5 linked regions of the Macaca mulatta genome follow. The main gene of each other region encodes a partner of the protein of the gene in region 3 in a complex. Links are inferred from orthologs where the notes say so. Each region holds a gene or a part of one and is shown on either strand. Other genes may lie near its edges.

What was found. The genes of interacting proteins can lie anywhere in the genome.
Region 1: the proteins of GNAI1 (region 3) and MTNR1B are in contact, whole or in part, in a cryo-EM structure (PDB 7VH0), measured with the Homo sapiens proteins. The link is inferred for Macaca mulatta from reciprocal best matches to the Homo sapiens genes GNAI1 and MTNR1B. Residues at the interface, in NP_002060.4 of Homo sapiens: Arg24, Arg32, Glu318, Ile319, Tyr320, Phe334, Asp337, Ala338, Asp341, Ile344, Lys345, Asn347, Leu348, Lys349, Asp350, Cys351, Gly352, Leu353, Phe354; in NP_005950.1 of Homo sapiens: Arg138, Tyr141, Ile142, His149, Arg150, Arg154, Ile223, Val227, Ala230, Arg231, Lys233, Ala234, Lys235, Thr252, Met253, Asn312, Asn314.
Region 2: the proteins of GNAI1 (region 3) and FFAR1 are in contact, whole or in part, in a cryo-EM structure (PDB 9K1C), measured with the Homo sapiens proteins. The link is inferred for Macaca mulatta from reciprocal best matches to the Homo sapiens genes GNAI1 and FFAR1. Residues at the interface, in NP_002060.4 of Homo sapiens: Glu28, Ala31, Arg32, Leu194, Asp315, Thr316, Lys317, Glu318, Tyr320, Phe336, Thr340, Asp341, Ile343, Ile344, Lys345, Asn347, Leu348, Asp350, Cys351, Gly352, Leu353, Phe354; in NP_005294.1 of Homo sapiens: Arg37, Thr39, Pro40, Ser41, Leu100, Gly103, Arg104, Gly107, Ala108, Pro111, Leu112, Tyr114, Gln115, Arg118, Arg119, Cys205, Leu209, Ser212, Gly213, Leu214, Thr215, Arg217, Arg218, Arg221, Ala222, Val225, Ala226, Tyr278.
Region 4: the proteins of GNAI1 (region 3) and GPR17 are in contact, whole or in part, in a cryo-EM structure (PDB 7Y89), measured with the Homo sapiens proteins. The link is inferred for Macaca mulatta from reciprocal best matches to the Homo sapiens genes GNAI1 and GPR17. Residues at the interface, in NP_002060.4 of Homo sapiens: Glu28, Arg32, Lys192, Asp193, Leu194, Asp315, Thr316, Glu318, Tyr320, Phe336, Thr340, Asp341, Ile343, Ile344, Lys345, Asn347, Leu348, Lys349, Asp350, Cys351, Gly352, Leu353, Phe354; in NP_001154887.1 of Homo sapiens: Thr92, Ala94, Asp156, Arg157, Ala160, Ile161, Pro164, Val165, Leu168, Lys169, Arg171, Arg172, Pro173, Leu247, Leu251, Arg252, Val253, Glu254, Leu257, Lys260, Ala261, Met264, Ile265, Ala329, Glu330, Lys331.
Region 5: the proteins of GNAI1 (region 3) and RGS16 are in contact, whole or in part, in a crystal structure (PDB 2IK8), measured with the Homo sapiens proteins. The link is inferred for Macaca mulatta from reciprocal best matches to the Homo sapiens genes GNAI1 and RGS16. Residues at the interface, in NP_002060.4 of Homo sapiens: Val179, Lys180, Thr181, Thr182, Gly183, Ile184, Val185, Gln204, Ser206, Glu207, Lys209, Lys210, His213, Ala235, Glu236, Asp237, Glu238; in NP_002919.3 of Homo sapiens: Glu86, Phe87, Ser88, Glu90, Asn91, Ala126, Pro127, Glu129, Val130, Asn131, Ile132, Asp133, His134, Leu162, Lys165, Asp166, Ser167, Arg170.

Annotation. Positions count from the first base shown.
Region 1 is NC_133419.1:93,824,639-93,828,682, forward strand, and holds the start of MTNR1B (melatonin receptor type 1B), read left to right. Parts: upstream 1-1,244; coding exon 1,245-1,467; intron 1,468-4,044.
Region 2 is NC_133424.1:46,625,733-46,629,930, forward strand, and holds the start of FFAR1 (free fatty acid receptor 1), read left to right. Parts: upstream 1-1,398; 5' UTR 1,399-2,252; intron 2,253-3,129; 5' UTR 3,130-3,332; intron 3,333-3,545; 5' UTR 3,546-3,752; intron 3,753-4,109; 5' UTR 4,110-4,198.
Region 3 is NC_133408.1:139,270,389-139,273,888, reverse strand, and holds part of GNAI1 (guanine nucleotide-binding protein G(i) subunit alpha-1), read left to right. Parts: intron 1-3,072; coding exon 3,073-3,263; 3' UTR 3,264-3,500. UniProt on the Homo sapiens protein: Guanine nucleotide-binding proteins (G proteins) function as transducers downstream of G protein-coupled receptors (GPCRs) in numerous signaling cascades.
Region 4 is NC_133417.1:9,632,012-9,636,166, forward strand, and holds the start of GPR17 (uracil nucleotide/cysteinyl leukotriene receptor), read right to left. Parts: upstream 2,801-4,155; 5' UTR 2,612-2,800; intron 794-2,611; coding exon of another isoform or gene 467-793; exon of another isoform or gene 1-466. UniProt on the Homo sapiens protein: Dual specificity receptor for uracil nucleotides and cysteinyl leukotrienes (CysLTs). Signals through G(i) and inhibition of adenylyl cyclase. May mediate brain damage by nucleotides and CysLTs following ischemia.
Region 5 is NC_133406.1:40,066,430-40,070,388, reverse strand, and holds the start of RGS16 (regulator of G-protein signaling 16), read left to right. Parts: upstream 1-1,159; 5' UTR 1,160-1,227; coding exon 1,228-1,271; intron 1,272-2,152; coding exon 2,153-2,263; intron 2,264-3,011; coding exon 3,012-3,076; intron 3,077-3,363; coding exon 3,364-3,530; intron 3,531-3,959. UniProt on the Homo sapiens protein: Regulates G protein-coupled receptor signaling cascades. Inhibits signal transduction by increasing the GTPase activity of G protein alpha subunits, thereby driving them into their inactive GDP-bound form.

The DNA of each region.
Region 1 (4,044 bases), on a different chromosome or scaffold from region 3:
TACCACAATTTGTTTATCCTTTCTTCTGTTGATGGAAATTGTGGCTGTTTCCAGATTTGAGCTCCTATAAACAAGGCTGCTCTGGACGTTCTTGTGCACGTCTTTTTGTGGAAATATATTTCCTTTTCATTTGGAACTTCTGGTCATAGAATAGGTGTATGTTTAACTTTATTAGGAGCTAACAGACAGCTCTTCAAAGTGGTTGTACCATTTTGCATTCTCATAAAAGCACTGTATGAGAGTTCTGGTTGCTTAAATTCCTCCACAAATTTAGGATAATCAGTCATTTTGATTTTAGTGATTCTAGTGGGTGTGAAAAGTGCTTAGGACAAACTTGGCATAAGATTATCCCCCAAGAGAAGTTATCTATTATTATTATCACCAGATCACGACTCAAGCACTTTTAATAAAGGGCACCCGAGTTCCTTCTTTATTGTAATCATGCCTCACTCTTTTTCTTGTCCTAACCCCTCCAAAAACCACATCACAACCCCCAATATTGGCCATACATCTATTTAAGTATTATGTGTAAATATATATTGGTAAATATACTAAAATATTGGCTTTATAAAGAGGACCAAGTAGAGACATCACTAATGTCCCCTGCAATACCCAGCGAGTGCTCGGAAAATGGCTAGGTTCCTATTTTTCTGCAGCTCCCTAGAATACAAGTCTACACTACTTTGTTCTGGGCTCTGTCCCCACATCTTAGGAGCTGCATTCTCTTTCGAGCTGCACAGCCCTGTGGGACCTCAAACCTTGCCTTGCTTGACAACTGGGAGGTCCCGACCATCAGCACCTTCTCCAGTCTATAAACCTGGGTTGGATGTTCCTAGCTGGACACAGCTTCTCTTGGGGACGCTGTAGAGGAAATCGGGGTCTCGGGTGTAGTTGTGTACCGAGGAACAGAGGCTAGACGTGCTCCGCGGCCTGAGATGAGCTAGGCACGTGCTGGGGGCGGGGTGGCAGAGACAGCTGTGTGGTCCCAGCTGTTCCTGAGCGCACCGCTGAGGGACGCACTCCTTTCTGCAACGGTTGCACCCCAAGTCCTCCTCCCATTCCTATATTTTTCTCCATCCCCTGCCCACGCTTAATTAGTTATCTCCTCCAGACCCCTCCCCACTGGCCTCCTCCCTTGCACACGGGAGCTGGACAGGGAAGGGAGCGCCCGGCTCAGTACTGCGCGAGCCCTGCGGCTGTCCGAGGCCGCGCGGTGGCCAAAGCGCAGCGCGGGAGAGTCTGCAATGTCAGATAACGGCTCCTTCGCCAATTGCTGCGAAGCCGGCGGGTGGGCAGTGCGCCCAGGCTGGTTGGGTACTGGCAGGGGGCAACCCTCCAGGACCCCTCGACCTCCTTGGGTGGCTCCCGCGCTATCCGTGGTGCTCATCGTCACCACCGCCGTGGACGTTGTGGGCAACCTCCTGGTGATCCTTTCCGTGCTCAGGAACCGCAAGCTCCGAAACGCAGGTGAGCACCATTCCTGATGCTGGGTGCTGGGGTCGGGCCCTTCCTTGTCCTCTGGTCTTGTCCCTGACCCCGGGATATGCGCTGCCTTTTCCCTCCTCAGCCCGGGCTCCCCTTTCCCTTCACTCTAACCTAGTCCCTAAGTTTGACTCTGCACTCAAAAGTTAGGGTGAGTTCTGCCCCTCCGAAATGCGACTGCCCAGGATGCACTTGGCACAGAGGGAATTACGGAAAGTTTTACTGGCGCGCTTTTTGGCGCTGTGGGAACCCACGCTGCTGGATGCCATCGCTACCCGTCGCGCTCCAATGTGTGCCTTTCCAGAGGTGCCCACATCAGGCCACAGAACACCACTTGTGCTTGACACCCCACTTCCTTCCTTGCCAAGCACTGTAGCTTTATGTAGTAGTTGCTTAGAAAATCCTTGCTGAAAAAATGAGTTAATCAATGGAAGCATTTCAGTAGGTTTTGTGTCAAAAACTTATCTCCAGGTCATCTGAAGACCCAATTCCAGTGGACAGAGTGTAAATGCAGAAATTGCAGATTCTGCTTGGACTGCACTAAATTGCTTTGAAATATTGTAGTCTTTTCTGAAGACTGGGAATTCCTGGGATTAACTGTGAAAATTAAAGCAATGGTTTGGCTAAATCGTGTTGCAAACCTGAAAATATTTCTCCTATTTCAATTCACTCTCGTTTCAATATTCCCCTAGTCAGGTCTTCAAAGAAAGAAAACCAGAGTGCGGGAGGAGGGGTCGGTGTCTGAACTCTCACCCTCACAGGTCATGGGGCATGCTGACCATTTCAGCCTAGGAGGGAGCTCGGTGACCTGTTAATTTTGCAGTCTCTCAAGTTGGGCCTTGGGGGCAAATTCAAATATTAGAGTGAATTAAAATGGAAAGATAGCAGCAGAAAAACAATTGTATAGCTTAAAAATGCTTTTTTAAGGAGTCAGACCATTTTTAGCAAATGGTAATATCTATTTGGTGTGGTCTGTGACTCTAGAATTTTTTCTTTTTTTCTTTTTTTTTTTTTTTGAGATGGAGTCTCTCGCTCTGTCACCCAGGCTGGAGTGCAGTGGCACAGTCTAGGCTCACTGCAACCTCCGTCTCCCAGGTTCAGGGGATTCTCCTGCCTCAGGGTCATAAGCAGCTGAGATTACAGGTGTGTGCCACTACACCCGGGTAATTTTTTATGTTTTTGGTAGAGACAGGGTTTCACCATGTTGGCCAGGCTGGTCTCAAACTCCTGACCTAAATCAAGTGATCCACCCGCCTCAGCCTCCCAAAGTGCTGGGATTACAGGCATGAGCCACCGCGTCCGGCTGACTCTAGGATTTTTATCTAAAAAAACAAACAAGAAACTGCTCCAACGGTGAGTATCCAGCCATCAAATGGGAAACATAACATTATGAAGAAGAAGTAAGCTTTCTAACTCAGCCACTTCGGTAGTGGTGGCTGTTTTCTGGAATACATTGTTCAAAATATTGTGTCCTTTGAAGAAAAGCTTATATATTAGGGAAGAACAGGTTATGATTAGAAAACTGCATTTAATATTTTTGAGACATTGTCCCTTGCAGCCATCATAAACATTCATTCCCTGAACAGGGAGGCAAAAGGGAGACAACTCCTGGCTCTGTGGGGGAGAAATCGGCCCTCCTGGTTCTGACATTGGCCCCTTCTGTCCCTGACTTATTGAGTATTTAGAGCAGGTCTGTCAGGCCGTGGCTCCCTACTCAGTAATTTGGATTGCCCACCGTGAGAAAGGTGGTTGAGGGAAGTAGGAGTTGCTTCCTTTTGCTGGAAGGAGAAAAGCACCCCTCCCCCACTGCCTCCTACAAAGGGCTGGGCTTTTCTGTGATCCTGGCAGGGTCTACAGAATCCTTCCCAATTTGAGAGCGTCACTGGGGAGGGTCATGAGCATGTTCAATTGCTGGCATATCCTCTCTTCTATCTTTCCTACCTCCCGATGTGTCTGCTACAGCCCAGCACCGGAAAAATAAATAAATAAATAACACTATATCTAAATGACATCAATTCCTGCCACTGCTACAGTGTTGCAATTTAACCAGTTCTTATGTGACCACTGGCTTTATTGGTGATAGTCACAAACAATTGTAGTACTGACTTGAACTAAATGATCTCAGCAGAGTGAGATTTCAAAAGGTACTTAAAACCTACAGCACCCATTCTACTCTTAATCAGGCCTTGTCTTACTGAAGAGTTTGGATTTACTTTAAGAAACGTTTCTTCAGTCCTTTCCATACTGAAGTCTGGCTCCTTAAATCATTGGTATTAATAACTTAAGTCTGTGACAATGAGAATACATATATTTCCGATAACCAAGATGCAGAGCCCATATTGAGATCACAGCATGTTTCCCAGGAGACACCAGTATCCTTTACTTGCCTATCACAAACCCATCCTCTGCGGAGCAGCTCTGTATCATCCCTAACAGTGTCGCTCCTGATGGCAGGGTGAGTGGTTACATTAATTGTCCTTTTTTTCAGGGATATCCTATCTGCGGCTTCGGTTGCTGTATGTGGTGGGTTGACTTCAGAGATAGCACTAGAGAAAGGCAGAC
Region 2 (4,198 bases), on a different chromosome or scaffold from region 3:
CTCTGGTCCCCTACCCCTGATCTGACATCCCCAGTCACAAATACTATGCCCAGTTTCTGCCTCTGGGGGAGAGCCCAGAAAAGGACAGAAATGAAGTAGGAAAGGGCCCGGTTCTGGCCTGGCTTCCCCTCTGGAAGTGAGGCATTGCACAGGGAGGCGTACATAACAGCAGCCCCTTGACTCCAAGGACTCCGGGTTTGAGACGGACACACTGGTATGGATTAACATGCCATGGAGACAGAGCTCACAATAAAAATGGCTCAGATGCCACTTCAAAGAACCAGCGAACGCTTTTCAGTCTGTGGAGTCAGAGTGGGGATGAGGAGAGGGGAAAGGCTTCACGGGGCCTGGGGGGAAGGAAATGGAGTCACCGTGGTTTAGTGATCAGACCAGCAGATTAGAGAGTCTGGTGTCTTGTTAGGAAAAGCATACTGGCTCTGCAGGCAGACAAGCGTGAGAGCTTGAATCTTGATTCTTTGGCTTAACTAGCCCGGTGATCTTGGCAGGGTTCACCAGCTTGCCTGAGCCTCGTTTTCTCCATCTGTAAAGTGGAGAGGGAGAGACCACTGCCTACCACGCAGGTGGCCCACGATAGGAAGTGAGGCATCGTCTTATATATGCTGGAGCCACACTGAGACCCAGCACAGAAACTGAAAGTCCCCCAGAAAACAAACCCCCGTCCTTTATTTGCATTTCTCGAAGAATGTGAAAAGGGGAAGCCAGTTCAAATCGGCTCTTCCCAAAAGTGACGCTACTCAGTTCTTGCACAACCCATAGCTGCCAGAGAAAGTCCTGAAGACCAGCCACCCTGAGAAACCTCACAGCTTATCTGTCGTTCAAGGTCCTCTGCACCCGTTCCCTAATTCTCTTCACTGATTCAGACTTTCCAGTTAGGTGCCCCAGCTCCCCTCTCGCTTCTCAGGTTTGATCTTTCTCCACCCATTCACCTGCTTCGGCAAAGGGGCCCATTCTCCTTAGAGGGCAGGGGTGTGATTATCTGACCATCAAGGAGATCGGCTCCTGGCATGTGGCAGGTTTCCCCAAACTGCCACCTTCCTTTCCCATCCTCCTTTCCCTCCCATCTCTGCTCAGTACCTGGATGGTAACTCTAGGAATTATGGTGCAGGGAGGCCTTGATCTCCCCATCAATCCACTTTGTCCCTTGTTTGATTTCTCATGAGCACCATTAACTTTTCTGGAGGCAGGTGAGACTTTAAGAACTATTTAAAGGCCAGGCGTGGTGGATCACGCCTGTAATCCCAGCACTCTGGGAAGCCGAGGTAGGCGGATCACCTGAGATCAGGAGTTCAAGACCAGCCTAGCCAACATGGCAAAATCCTCTCTCTACCAAAAATACAAAAATTAGCCGGGCATGGTGGTTCCCACCTGTAATCTCAGCTACTTGGGAGGCTGAGGCAGCAGAATCGCTTGAACCCAGGAGGTGGAGGTTGCGGTGAGCCGAGATCACACTACTGCACTCCAGCCTGGGTGACAGAGCAAGAGTCCGTCTCAAAACAACAACAACAACAACAACAACTGTTTAAATGAGACAGGGAGGGTATTGGGGTGTCTGTGCCCAAAATGAGGTCTGATGTCATTCAACCCTTTTTTCATTTACTCGGCACACAGATACTGAGCACCTGGAAATGCACCCAGTACAGAGCCAGTTGTTAGGGCACCAAAAAGATAAGGCATAGGACCAACCTTGGGGATCTGTAGTCTAGGGCTGCCAAGGGTTTTTAAGGCAAGACCCCCTGAAGGGAGCTGAGGCAGTCCTAAGCCTGAAGGGCCTGGCTCAGGCTCCCTGGCAACCATCGAGCGTCTTCCCCTTCCCACCCTGTCCCTCAGCACAGCTGCTGACATAAACCTACTACATGGCTGATTGACCATGAGATGTGGCCATCAATAGACATTGCTGAAGCATGAAGAACAGGTGCCCAGGAAGCTGGGCGGCCAGGACTCCAGACGCAAGCCGCCGCCCTCCACAACCCCAGCTCTCACCGTCCTCCCAGGGTCCAGATAATGGATCGTGCAATTAGGTTCCCAAACACCTGCTGTGCAACATGCAGTAAACAAAGCAGACCAAAGCCTTTGCCCTCAGGAGGCCCGGCATTCTAGCTCAGGAGCCAGCCAAGACGATGTCGCACTGAAGACAGACAACAAAAGTGAGATTCACGGGAGGGATCAGTGTGGCTGAGGCACCCGGGAAGGCCCTTGGAGGAGGTGACCTTGGGCAAAGATCCAGACGCCAGGTGGGTGGAGCCAAAGCAGAGATGATCTGGAAAACCCAACAGGTCCCCGGGGCTTCACTTTTGCTATAGGAGGGGAAATGGCACTGCTTTGGATTCTTCCTCGGTTTTGTCCCTTTCTCGGTTCCCAACAACAGACGGAACAGTAGGAGGCCGATTCTCTGCTCACAGCGGGTGCTACACCCCATGCGCGGCTCCCGCTGGGGGAGAAAAAGGAGAGCATGGACCAATTTAGTGACTCCAAGGTGTGAAAAGCAGTGAGATGGTGTCTTTGAGGGAGTTAGTGACAGGCTGAGACCCCCTTGCTGTTCCCCCTGAAGCCTGGTGACTGGAGCTGCCAGGAGGCCACACAGAGAGAGGCTGATGATGGGAGACCTGGAATTTGGAAGGGGCAGAGTGGTCAGGTGACCGACACATGCCTGAGAAAACTGATGTGGAGAGGCTGTGTTGTCATTCTCAGGCAGGAAACAGACAGACAGACAGACAGAGACATGGGCACAGTGAGAGACAGGGGCAGAATCACAGAGCAGAGCTGGCTTCTCACCAGCAGGCATGGGCACACCTGAGAGAGCATCCAGAGAGGTTAGAAATCTTCCTTAGGTCCTCCTGGGAGACTCAGGTGACCCAAATGGGAAACATGAAAGGCTGGGAGGATTCCCAGGGCTGAGAGAAGGAAGTTACACAGCCGGCCGGTGCCACATTCCTTGTGCCTCAGGGAGTGCCCCCCAATGTCCCCAGCCATGCACCCTGGGGGGAGTCAGCTTGGACATTTGTGCCACCCCTTGTCAGGCAAAGTGGGGGCCACAACCTGGGTCCTCCAGTGCCAGCCAGCAGAGGCTGCCCCCATCCCTTGCCTTCCTCCTCCTGCTCCTTTCTCCAGCCCTGGAAAGGTCAGAAGTCACCATCCTGGAACTAGAGGGGAAGGAGAGGCAGAACAGAGGGGCCCCTCCTTGCAAAAACGAAAACAAGCCCACAACCTGTGCAGAGCTGCACCTGGGTGTGATCACTCCTTATCCCACACACCCACTGCCACGTGGAGATGGCTTCATGGCTGCGGTCACGGGGCACCCTGTGTTGTCAGAGGTGAGCCAGTGAGACCCGGGGCCTGCCCAGGGGTGCATCGAGGGTGGAGCAGACCTGGCCCCAGCGCGGGTATAAACAAGCAGGAGGGCCGGGGAGGGACTAGCACTGGGTTGTGGCCGAGCCCCCAAGCCCTGCTGTTGCAAGGCACTGGCTACACACCCGGTCCCTACCCAGACAGGACCCCGATTCCTCCCTAGCCCCTCTGTGTTCCAGCATCTTCCCAGCCCCTCACCTCCTCTGGTGTGGCCTCACCTCCAGCCGGGATGCCCCATTAGCTGCTCACCCAAGCTGCTAGAACCTCAGGCTAATGGCCCTGCCACCCGCCCTCCTCCCCTTCCGGCTCACTGCTCATCCCGGGCATCCTCCATCAGCCCGCTGAGGGGACTGCTGAGCCTCACAGACATCTGGCGGTGCCAGGAGGTGGGTCCCTCTCTCTGTGGTTCCTCTCTTCACCTAACTGTTCCCCAGACCTCCAGACCCCTGCCCAGGTGGCCCCTGAGAACTGCTAAGCTCAACCATGACATGGATGGGGCCCAGCTGACCCTTGAGCTCTCCCTGGGGGACCCCCTTTTCCTGCCCCTGGCCACACCCTCACGTCATCCACACCCTTCTCCTCCCTGCTGCCCTGCCGTCTTTCCACTGTGGGGGAGCAGCTCTTGCCTTGCCAGGGAACCGGGGAGGGCAGTGGGCTCAGGAGTCAAACTCCCATTCCCAGGGAAGGCTCAGGCTGTGGGGCCCAGCCCTGTTCTGAATTCTCTCCACCCCTTCTCCCCACAGAGTCTCAGAAGTGGAGAAGCCTTCTTCCTCTGCACCACCCAGCCATGCACCCTGGGGGAGTCGGCTTGGACATCTGTGCCACATCCTAT
Region 3 (3,500 bases):
GTTCTTTGGTAAATATAATCATGTTAATTGTTATAGCTCTTTTTGCGTACTGTGAAATTATACTTCAGTTCAAACTAATTTCACACAGTTACTTTAAAACTTTGCTTTCTTTTTGGAAGTCATAGTCCTGAATCACTGTGTTCAGGAACATTTTTTTGTGCTTATTAGAAATAAGTTATCCAGAGTCAAGATGGCTTATTTTTTCCCTTATTTGAATATATTTTTTAGTTTATTTTTATCATATTCTATGATGTAGCCATTTTGTATTAATTCATAGTACCAGAGCCCCAAATGAATCCATAAATATTGTATAGCTACAGGGATTTCAGAAGAACTAAGAATATACTTGTTAGCTCTTTCCTTGCCAAGTAGACAGTGTGTTTAGGAATTTTTGCTTGTGTTTTGCTTAATAATCCCTGACTTCAGAATCTTTGCACAAAAAGAATATTACATAATTCTTTCACATCTCCAGAGTTAAGATTATTATTTAAGATCTCCATGGCATGCCCTAAGTATTGATTCAGTTGCTTCTTGCTTCAGCCGCAACTCTCAATTTCCTATGGCTATGGAAGAACCCTGTGTAGCGCCTAAGCAACTTGCTTGATTTATCTCCTGTCTGTCTGCTCATGTGTCATCCTTCTCCTCCTCTTCTTTTTACTGTATGTTGCCACTTTACCAGTTTCATCTGCAGTCATGTCATCTTAGCTCTCTATCCTTTCGTAGTCATAGCTATTCTCAATAGGTTAAATTTTATGGTCAGCCCTAATTTATCTCTGGAGCCTTAGATTTGCATTACCAACTGCTTGAACATACATGTTTTTTTGTTGTTTGTTTGGTTGGTTGGTTGGTTTTTTAGCACCCGAAGCTCAAACAGAACTCCTCTTCTTGTTTAAACGCAGATCTCTTCTCTTTCCTTTTTGATTGTGTCATCAGCCTCCCAGTTCTTCATTTTTGAACCTGGTTATCACCTGTGCTTACCTTTGTTCAGGATAATTCTATCTCACATAAAAAAAAATACCATATTTGCTCTCGTGTCCCTGCATTGCCATTCTTTTCTTAAGACTTAAAATCAGAATGAAGAATGTTCATTCATATGTGTTTGTACTTTGAGGGTAATCTAGCTAGCTGCCTAGGATATGTAGAGCAAATTGAGGTAGGCACTCAATGTAAGCTGTTTGGCTGAAATATATTTTAATTTAGCAGTTGCATTAGCTTCTGTGGGCCAACAAGATGCTGTTAATTGCTTTAAAATTTTGGAGAACGAAACTTAGGATTTAATAAAATTTGATTTTTTAAAGTATGTGATTTCTAGTGATATAAAATAGTTAAAATGTAAACTTAAAGACAATAACTTTATTACCTTTTTATCCCTAATAAAAATCTCATAATCTGTATCATAGCACATTACACAACATTCCTATGGGCATTTGTCACATTGTATTATACTGGATTCTGTAAGATATAAAAGGAGTATGGGGCTGGTGGGGTGTGATGTTTACTCTTGAGGAGTTCACATTCTAGTTTAGGAGACTCAACACTGAAAAAGAATTTAAGACTTTAAAGCAGTATAACAAAAACTGAAATAGTTATTTCTAGGAGGAGACAAAAGTTTTTAAGTGATAGAGAACCCAGCTAGATTTGATTAATTAGGAAAAGTTAGATGGAGTGCCAATTTTGAGCAAATGTGAAGGCAGGCAGAGATCTCAGCCGGTAAAGTAGAATGAAGAGGAAGTACTGCAGTACCACAGGTGGCAGTTTGCATGTTGGGTCCTCATGACATGGACCTGGGTTGAGCACCAGTGTGGAGGAGAGGATCTCAGAATGATGGCACTGCAGAGCAGGCTGGATAGTAGAAGACCTTGAAAGCCTGGCAGATAATTTTGGATGATTAATTTTTTTTATTGAAGCATTACATATAGCATTACATTGTATACATTATGTATATTATGTACGTACATATGTACACACACACCCTCAGCATAAGTGCATTTTTAAAGGTGAACATACCAGTATCCACCACTCAGGTCAAGAAACCAAACAGTTTCAAGACCCCTGAAAGTCCCATCATGCTTCCTCCGAGTCTTAACCAATCAAAACCTCCCCGCAACACACACGTACACACTCACATCCCATACACAGAGTAATCACTGATTACTCACTGATAATCACTGAAGACCTTAATAAAAGAACGGACACAAAGGAAATATATACCCACTTCACATGTGCCACAGACTCTATTAATTGGTGAGACTTTTGTCCTCACCAATTCATTTTTCAAACAGTGTTGTATCATACAGTATATGATCTTTTTGCATCTAGCTGCTTTTGCTCAATAGTTCACTTATGAGTGAACTCAGTTATTGAGTATAGCAGTAGTACTTTCATTCTCACTTCTTCTGTGTCTTCAGTGATACACAGTTCTGTCAAGTGTATATCTAGAAACTGAATTGCGGGGTCAGAGTGTGTGTGTGATTATCTTTAGATATTGCCAAACAATTTCTGGAGTGTTTGTACTCAGAGGGAGTCTTTTTTAGTCAGTAACCTGAAAGCTGGAGTGTGTCATTCACTTTTTTTGTAACCTCATACTCCTAAACATCATTGTAGACCTTGGTACAATTTTTGAATAAAGAAAAATGAGTGAAGAATGCTAATTAATGTATATATAGAAAAGGGAGGAAAAAATACTGATCAGCATTCAGCCAACATTTTTTGATCCACCGTTGAGCCAGAACTGAAATAGCATGCCGTCATCAAGCATCTGAGTTGGGGTGTAGAGGACAGAAGATAAGAGGATAAAAGATCTAGCCTTTGGAGATTGAGGCAGGAACAAAGATCATGATGAACACGGAATGCCATGTAGAGGAAATTTTTTGTTTAATTTTAGGGATAACTTACAGTCATTAAAGGTAATTAACATGGAGTGTTTTTCATGTAGAAGAAATAGTGTCTCCCATTCTAGAAGGGAAAGCACAGTTAAGGAGTCCATGAATGAAGCTGTATGAAACTGACTTCAGTATTTTAAGCAGTTATTTTAACTTTCTACATTATATTTCTTTCCTTTTTCCATCTCAGGATCAAACACATATGAAGAGGCAGCTGCATATATTCAATGTCAGTTTGAAGACCTCAATAAAAGAAAGGACACAAAGGAAATATACACCCACTTCACATGTGCCACAGATACTAAGAATGTGCAGTTTGTTTTTGATGCTGTAACAGATGTCATCATAAAAAATAATCTAAAAGATTGTGGTCTCTTCTAAGTTTTGCAGTTAATGGTAAAATGCATTTTCAAACCAAATGAGTACTTATATATGGATCTCTGTAGACTAGAGTCTTGCAGCAACACAGAATGTAATATAAGGCAAATGCATCTGGGACCTGACCAAAGTTGTTCTGTTTTGTTTTTTTAACTGAAAGTAACAGAAGGACCTTTCTTAAATGTGACAGATGGTCCTGCAGTGTGAAACTGAAGGACAGTGTTAAAGCTGGGCTCTAGT
Region 4 (4,155 bases), on a different chromosome or scaffold from region 3:
CCCCCAGGGCTCAAGTGATCCTCCCACCTCAGCCTCCTGAGTAGCTGGAACTACAGGCACACACCACCACGCCTGGCTAATTTTTGTATTTTTTGGTAGAGATGGGGTTTTGCCATGTTGCCCAGGCTGGTCTCAAACTCCTGGGTTCAAGTGATCCTCCCTCCTTGGCCTCCCAAACTGTTTGGATTACAGGCATGAGTCACTGCGCCCAGCCCCTCTCCTCTTACTCCACAGGGCTGTCTCAGGATGCTGGTGGCATGGGGCAGAGAGGGCATGATGACTGTTCACGGGCACAGCAGCTGCTCGAGGAGGAGGCTGGAGCCATCCTCACATAGAGGAGAAGCATGCACGGTGGTGGCCCTAGCCCTAGGGAAGGGCAGGCCGTACCCTTCCTCAGGAGAGCGAGCGGCCAGCTGCTGTGGCCCTCACATGGAGCGTGAGGGCTGGCCCAAGCACCTGGCCATCAATGTCCTCAAGCAAAGGGGAGGGCAACTGCCTAATAATATTACCTTTTAGCTATCTCTCTAGGCAGGTTCCCCTACCTGAAAAGATTCCCCTGGCTTCAGAGTGTTTGAAGATGCCTGAAGTTCTAACACCAGAGATGGTTTCCTGCCACTTCCAGGAACAGGGTCTGTTCTTAGTCCCATGTGGAGTTCCTCACGGGGATCCCATTCCCCAGGAATCCAGGTTTCACAGTCCTCTGACTTGGGCTGGATGGTCTCGGCTGGCACTTTCCCTAGGACTGCAAAAACCACAGTGCGGTGCGGGCGGAGAGCTGAGGGCCGAAGGCGGGGTGAGTGATCCTCGGGAGAGGGAGACAGGCTTGGCTGGAGCCCTGGGGAAGGGCTGAGGGCTCTGAAGGGGGCTGTGGAGGAGAGGTAAAAGGAGGGAGGGACACAGCCCTTGACAGGGCCTGTGAGGCAGGGGAGGACAGGGAGCAGGTGCCATGGGATGGCGGGGGTGGGGGGGCTGTGACTTTGAGGGTGTCGTGTTGCACGTGCTGGGGGTGAGGACCCAGAGACTGGAGGAACAGGGCTCCAGGGCAGGTGCACGGGCAGGCAGAGAGGACAGCCCATGGTAGATGGGAGGGGCACACAGGTGTGCTGTTTTCAGGTTGGCAGGAGAGGAGCAAGGTGTGTGCGGGGAGGCCCTGGAGACTGGAAGAGGAGAGAGGGCTCAGTGAGTGAGGGATCCTTGTTAGAACCTGGGGGTGGGAAGGGGCCAAGGTGGGTGCCCACCACCCTAGACTGTCCCTCGGGCCTGTACTGTGCCCCACTGTGCAGGTATCACCTGGCCCCAGGAGAGAGCAGCTCATAGGTACGACTGACCACTCTGCCTGGCATGGTGGGGGCCTGCCTGTGCTGGCTCAAACCAGTTTTAGCCCCATTTTACAGATTAGGGAATCAAGGCTGAGTGTCTGCTAACTTGCCCTAGGTCACTTGACCAGGGGACATTGGCCCTGGAGCTGGAAGTAAGACCAGGGAAACCCTGGTCCCCCAGGGGACTGCCTTGCCTCTGGAGACTGCCAGGGCGCCTCGGCCAGGGCAGGAGTGTGACTCGGTCTCAGAGCTTGCCATGGAGTTGTCTCCCAGGCTCAGCACCTCCTCCCGGCCCTGGGACCACTCCCTAATTTTAGGGGCCCGCGTGTGGAATGAGAATGTGCAGCCCCTTGCTCAAAAAGGAAGAGTTTCAAGACAGTGACAACAGAGTGTTACTGGGCTTGGGGCCCTGAGTGACAGCAGGGCTAGCATATCTCATGGCACTAGGTGGGCCTGTGGTGCCTCCTGCCTCCAGCCCTGGAGTCTCAGCCTGGGCACTGCCCTCCGCTTCCTGCCCCGGCCGAAGGGCGTCCACCTCGCCCTCTCTGGGACTGAGACTCACTCCATCTTAAACCGCTTCCTGGTTCGTTTCAGGTTTGCTGAGGTTTCTCCTCCCTTTCTGTCCCTCGTTTGAGGAGTTCTGATACTGGTTGCTGCAGCTTGGTCTGAGATGGGCCCTGTTTCACTCTCCATTGCCCTTTAGAAACGAACTTCAGCCTAGACTCACTGGTTCCTCACGGCTCACTGCTCAGATGGCCACTGAGCGGGTGTTCCTAAGAGGAAGGGGCGTGGAACGGGCCAGGGCCTGGGCAGAGTTGGGTCCCATGGCTGTGGGTGAGCTGAGCGTCTAGGACAGGTCTCAGGCCTCTGTGGAGGTGGCGGGTGGGCACGCGTGGCCTCAGGGAGGGCCTGTGGTAGCAGCTGCCATGGCCAGGTGGTGGCAGTTACCTTTGCACTAGTGCCAGTCCATCCCTGGCCTGAACCCTCTCCCAGGCATCTGGCTCCCGTATGGGTCAAGGCTGTCTCATGGTTAGGGGCAGGGGTGCTGCCATTGCAGCCTGGACTGCGGGCAAGCCACTTCCCCTCTGCAAGCCCCCATCAGCGGGACAAAACACCGCTTTGTGGGCTGCTGTGAATTCAGATGGGTCAGCCTTCAATGCACAGGTCAGACCATCACCAAAGACATGGCACGAGACAGGCTGCTGCCCGTCTCCCTGGGCAGGGTTCCCCGCTGAGTGTTTCCTCTGCTTAGTCCTGGGCTCCCAGCCCGCCGCACCCGGCCTGCCCCTTACCTCTAGCCGCTGGTCCAGGAGGAAGGGGCAGGGGTCTGTGGGGCAGCAGGTGATCTCCGCCCGTGGGTGTCGGTGGCAGAGGGCTCTGTGCCGCTGTGGGTGGAACGCTGGCTATTTAAGGGAAGAAGGGAGACCACAGCCCCTCTGGCCCTGAAAGGCTGCTTCATTCCTGAGGGGTTCCTTGTGTGGCGGCCGCTCCTCTGGCTGCGGCTGCTGCCACCAGAGCGTGAATATTCTAGTGTGTCCCTAGCCCGTGCCCCCCGCCCCCAGCTTGGCCACAGAGGCTGAGTGTGTGACTGTCTCAGACTCAGAGCAGGCGGGGGCTGGCTGGGGGGCTTAGGCTGGAGCTGAGGGACACAACAGGACGTTTCAGAAGGGGATGATTTCCTACTGATGGGGGGCAGGGAGGGGCCGGCTGCCATGGCAACAGGCGGCGCTCTCAGGCCTGCGCCCGCAGACAGCGGAGGGGGCCTGTGATCGGAGGGTGGGAGTCCGAGGAGGATTGCTCACTGAGTGAGAGGCGACTCTTTGAGGACACTTGCTGTAGGGTCCTTGTGTCCTGCCCCGTATAATGAGGCCCCATTTGGGCATGCCGAATAAATCATGGCCTTTATCTGGAGCGAGGCACAGCTGCAGGAGCCTCATAATGGGGCGCTGTCCTGCCCGTGGGGATGCGGCTCAGCTCAGAGGCCGGGTGCCCGCCGGTGCAGCTCCCCTTCGGCACGGGAGCCCGTGAATCCGAAAGCTGGCCACGGGGCTCCTCCCTGGCCTGGCTCCCGGCTGGGGTGCCTTTGAGTGCTGCCGGCGGCCGCCTCTGAGACTGAGTGAACAAAGTTCGTTTCTGTCTTTCTAAAAATGATACATCCAGCAACATGGGAAGCCAAATCGCCTTTCCTGGTTTCAAAAGACTTTACATTTTGTTGTTTAAACATTGAAAACTGTATGTATGTGGCTAGCATTTCGGGGGCCGTATCTTAAATTTGTCTCTTTGCATCACCCCGTGCAGCTGGGATTATTGCCCCATTTCACAGACAAGGAAACTGAGGCTCAAGCACATGAAGAAACTCACCCATCAGCCAACAGTAGGAAGCGACAGAGCCAGGATTTGAACCCAAGGGCGTGTCCCTCCAGAACTTAGGCTTCGTGTGTGTGTGTTTTGTTTTTCTGCTGCATTTTGAATTTAGAATTCTTAGATTCGATCCTAATTCAATCTGAAAAATAATTCTGAAGGTCACCGTTAGATCTGGTGCTGTGATGTGGTCTGTCGAGAAGCTGTTTCCCATCTGGACTTCCTACGAGAGAGATGGGCTTCCCAGTCTGTCTGGCCTGAGAGCCAGCCGGGTGCGAGGTGTCTGGGCCAGTGCGCAGGTAGAGGTGTCTGAGCCAGCTGGGTGCGAGGTGTCTGAGCCAGGGCGCAGGTTGAGGTGTCTGAGCCAGCTGGGTGCGAGGTGTCTGAGCCAGGGCGCAGGTTGAGGTGTCTGAGCCAGGGCGCAGGTTGAGGTGTCTGAGCCAGCCGGGTGCGAGGTGTCTGAGCCAGGGCGCAG
Region 5 (3,959 bases), on a different chromosome or scaffold from region 3:
GGGGAGAGGGGGGAGCGGGGGAGAGGGGGGAGCGGGGAGGGTGCAATGGAAAAAGAATGGTAAATTCACATTTGAATTTTGGAGCCAACACCTACTAGCTGCACATCTTTGAGCAAGTTATTTAATATGAGTCTTAGTTATGTGACTGGCACATAGTAGGTGTTCAATAAAATACTCATCCCTATCCCATTTGTCTGTCATCTCCAACTGTGATCTTGAGCAAGTTTATTTAGCTTTCTGATTCTCGGTTTCTTCAACTATAAAATGGAGATGATGATGAAGAAGAAGATCTTACTTAGCCCCATGTCCATCGGGGTAGGAGCCTCGTAAAGGGTACTTATCAGTATAATTAGAAACTGTTGGCCGGGCGCGGTGGCTCAAGCCTGTAATCCCAGCACTTTGGGAGGCCGAGACGGGCGGATCACGAGGTCAGGAGATCGAGACCATCCTGGCTAACACGGTGAAACCCCATCTCTACTAAAAAATATAAAAAACTAGCCGGGCGAGGTGGCGGGCGCCTGTAGTCCCAGCTACTCGGGAGACTGAGGCAGGAGAATGGCGTGAACCCGGGAGGCGGAGCTTACAGTGAGCTGAGATCCGGCCACTGCACTCCAGCCTGGGCGACAGAGCGAGACTCCGTCTCAAAAAAAAAAAAAAAAAAAAAAAAAAGAAACTGTTTTGCCAGGTTTGCACCCTGTGCGCCTGTCCTTCAGGACCCAGCAGGCTCAGACTTACCTGCGATCAAAGCCCTGTGTGCCTCTCAGACCCACCAGCCCCGTGGAATCTCTTGCAACACGACACCGCTGCGTGAGTTTTCTGTTGTTACTAGAGGTCAGCAGGTATTTTTCCCTAGGAAACTGGGTGTGCACGTCTCATCCCCGTGCCAATTCTCTTGCCGCTTCTCCTTCCACACGCGGCGTCCTCCGGAGGGAGGGTGCAGCTCCGCGTGCTCCAGCTGCGGCGAAAGTTGCGCCCGGCCCAGTCTGGCTGTGGGCCCCGCCTCCGCCTTCTCAGTGTCCAGCCCCGCCCTCCGATTGGTCAGCAGTGCCCAGCCCCGTTCCTCCGAGGGGATTAAAGCAGCGGCCGCGAAGTCTGGGTGCTTGCAGGCTGCTAAAGCCAACCCCAGTTGATTAGCACCTGCTACCGCGCTTTGCTTCCTAGCGCTCGCGGAGCCTCCTGGAGCCTGCCACCATCCTGCCGGCTACGTGCTGCCCCGCGCCCGCAGCCATGTGCCGTACCCTGGCCGCCTTCCCCACCACCTGCCTGGAGAGGTAAGGGGAGCTTGTCCAACTGCTTGCGGGAAGTCCCACCAACTCTTAGGGAGTGGAGCGGCAGGCCTGGGGACCTGGGTGGGCGCGGGGATGGGGCGCTGGAGGCTTAAGTAGAGAGGTAGAGGCGAACCTGATGCCACGTGCTTAGATTCCAGGAGCAGGGAGAAAGCAAGGGGAAGGGAAGCAAGGGCCCGCTGCTTGCTGCCATCCCCATCCTCTGACAAACTGCAGTCGTGCTCAGGTGACCTGCTGAAGACCTGGCTGCAGGAAGGCCACGTTGACATTTCCAGGCAGAACTGAGCCTGCCTATTGCTTAAGCACTTGTTTTTCATTCCTCAGACCAGAGCTAGGGGCATTGCCTCCTCTGCCCCTGGAAGGCAGGGAGATTTTTTTTTTTTTTTTTTTTTTTTTGTGGGGTGTGGTGGGGCAGGGGGATCCCACTGTTGAGGGTGTGTCCATATTCCAGAGAGCAACTCAACAGCTTCCAGTCGTTACTGGCTGGGAAGGAAAACGTAAAGATGAAGGCAGGAATCAGTTTCCCACAGTTCAGAAATACTCCTGAAAAGAATGCTGAGTTCTTTTCTGAATCAACAGGCACGAAGAGAGATCAGTGTGACTTTAGGGAAAAGCCCATATATGAGCGTGTGTATTACCCAGAAAGTGTAAGGTCTACCACGGCATAGCTCAAACATTGCTTTTGTTGCTTTGGGGTTGATGATACTGATAAGCACAATTTGGGTCCTGGGAACAGCCAAGAGTTTCCAGGAACTCTTGAGGCTAAACTTTGGGTGGCACCACCCAGAGCTCTTCTGGGACACATAAACCTCTCCACACTGGCTGAGCAAATGAGAATCCTTTCATGTTCCTGATTTGTTTTTCAGAGCCAAAGAGTTCAAGACACGTCTGGGGATCTTTCTTCACAAATCAGAGCTGGGCTGTGATACTGGGAGTAGTGGCAAGTTCGAGTGGGGCAGTAAACACGGCAAAGAGAAGTAAGTGTTGCTGACCAGCTCAGGGCTCCGAGAGGGAAGGGAGCGGGAAGGAGGGAAATATAAGGAGAAGCCAGGACACACTAAGTGGATCTTGGCAACGCCTCCCTAGAGATTTTAGTGAGACTTGTTGCTGGTCTGTTATGACTACTTGGCTCATGGGTGAGTGGGTAGGTGGCTCCAGGGCTCCAAGTCTATCCACGGATGAGGGCACACAGGGCATGAATGCCTAGTTAACCAGACTCTCCCACCTGGGGTTTCATTGCACATGCATCCAGGGCTAGGACAGAGTCCAAGGCCACTTGAGGTTTTTATTAATGACTCTAGCATGCACCTTGCCTAGAAACCCTTTCATATTGGCTATCAACTGTACCAAACTCTGGAGTTATGTGTAGATGTAATCTCTATTTATGAGGCCCTTATGTCCTTGGGAAGGTGTACAAAACAAATCTTTGAGAGTCAGGGGAATTGAAATAATTTTTGGACAGAGAAGAGACAGGCTTAGAGATATTAACTGAAGACTAAAGGAGTCCCTGGCTTTGATTTCTGGTTGCCGAATTGTCCTCTAGAAAACATTACTGCTTACCCTAAGTCCAACTAGGAGTTTGAGGTGTCAGCTTCAACAATCACCAAGGCAAGCCTTTCTGTGAATTTTACGCAATTTTCCATCAGAGTTCTGGCTAGAATTTGTACTATGCTTTGGTTTGTTGATTTTTTTTTCTTACTCTTTTTTTTTCTTTTTGTCTTTTAGTAGAAACTTCTCAGAAGATGTGCTGGGGTGGAGAGAGTCGTTCGACCTGCTGCTGAGCAGTAAAAGTGAGTAGGAGCCTTTTGTGTCTGTCTCTGGGTGGCACGTGTATACTCATGTGCTTTGGAACCAGCTCCAGGACTGCTGAGAGCCTGGGCAGAATAATAGTAGTAGTAATAATAATAATAATGATCCCCTAGTGTGCCAGCCTCTATTCAACACACAAAGGCAGGTCCTTGTTCAAGAAAATTATGTTCTAAAAATAGAGCCATTACGTGCAATTGCTTTCCTTTCTTCTTGTATTCCCTGCTGTCCCTCTGGCTGACCTGTTTCCGCCTCTTTCCTGTAACCCCAGATGGAGTGGCTGCTTTCCACGCTTTCCTCAAGACGGAGTTCAGTGAGGAGAACCTGGAGTTCTGGCTGGCCTGTGAGGAGTTCAAGAAGATCCAATCAGCTACCAAGCGGGCCTCCAGGGCACACCGGATCTTTGAGGAGTTCATCTGCAGCGAGGCCCCTAAAGAGGTTAGAGCCCCCATATGCCCAGTGAATCCTCACGACCCTGCCTGCTCCTTCCCCTCTGAGAGTGAGGGCTAGTGGGGAGGAAAGGCTAGGTGTAGAAGTAGAAGGGCCTTACTTGGCACAGGGGTGAATGGGCTTCTGTGACCAGACACTAGAAAAGCCGGGCTCAGTGCCACTCCTGGGTGCTTAACCCTATGACTCATGATGGGGCAGGATGGATTGGCAGGTTTTTCGGCTTCTATCCATACCCATCTTTATAAATCCATCCCTTTTTAGAGGCTCAAAACACTTACCAACTGGGGAGACAAGGTCAGCACAGGGACCTTATATAACCTGGCTCAGTCCCCAGGCTGACCTGCCTGAGGCCTGCAGGTCTGTAGTCTGTGATTTTTTTGTCTACCTTCCCTCCCGGCCACTATGCATGGCAGCTGC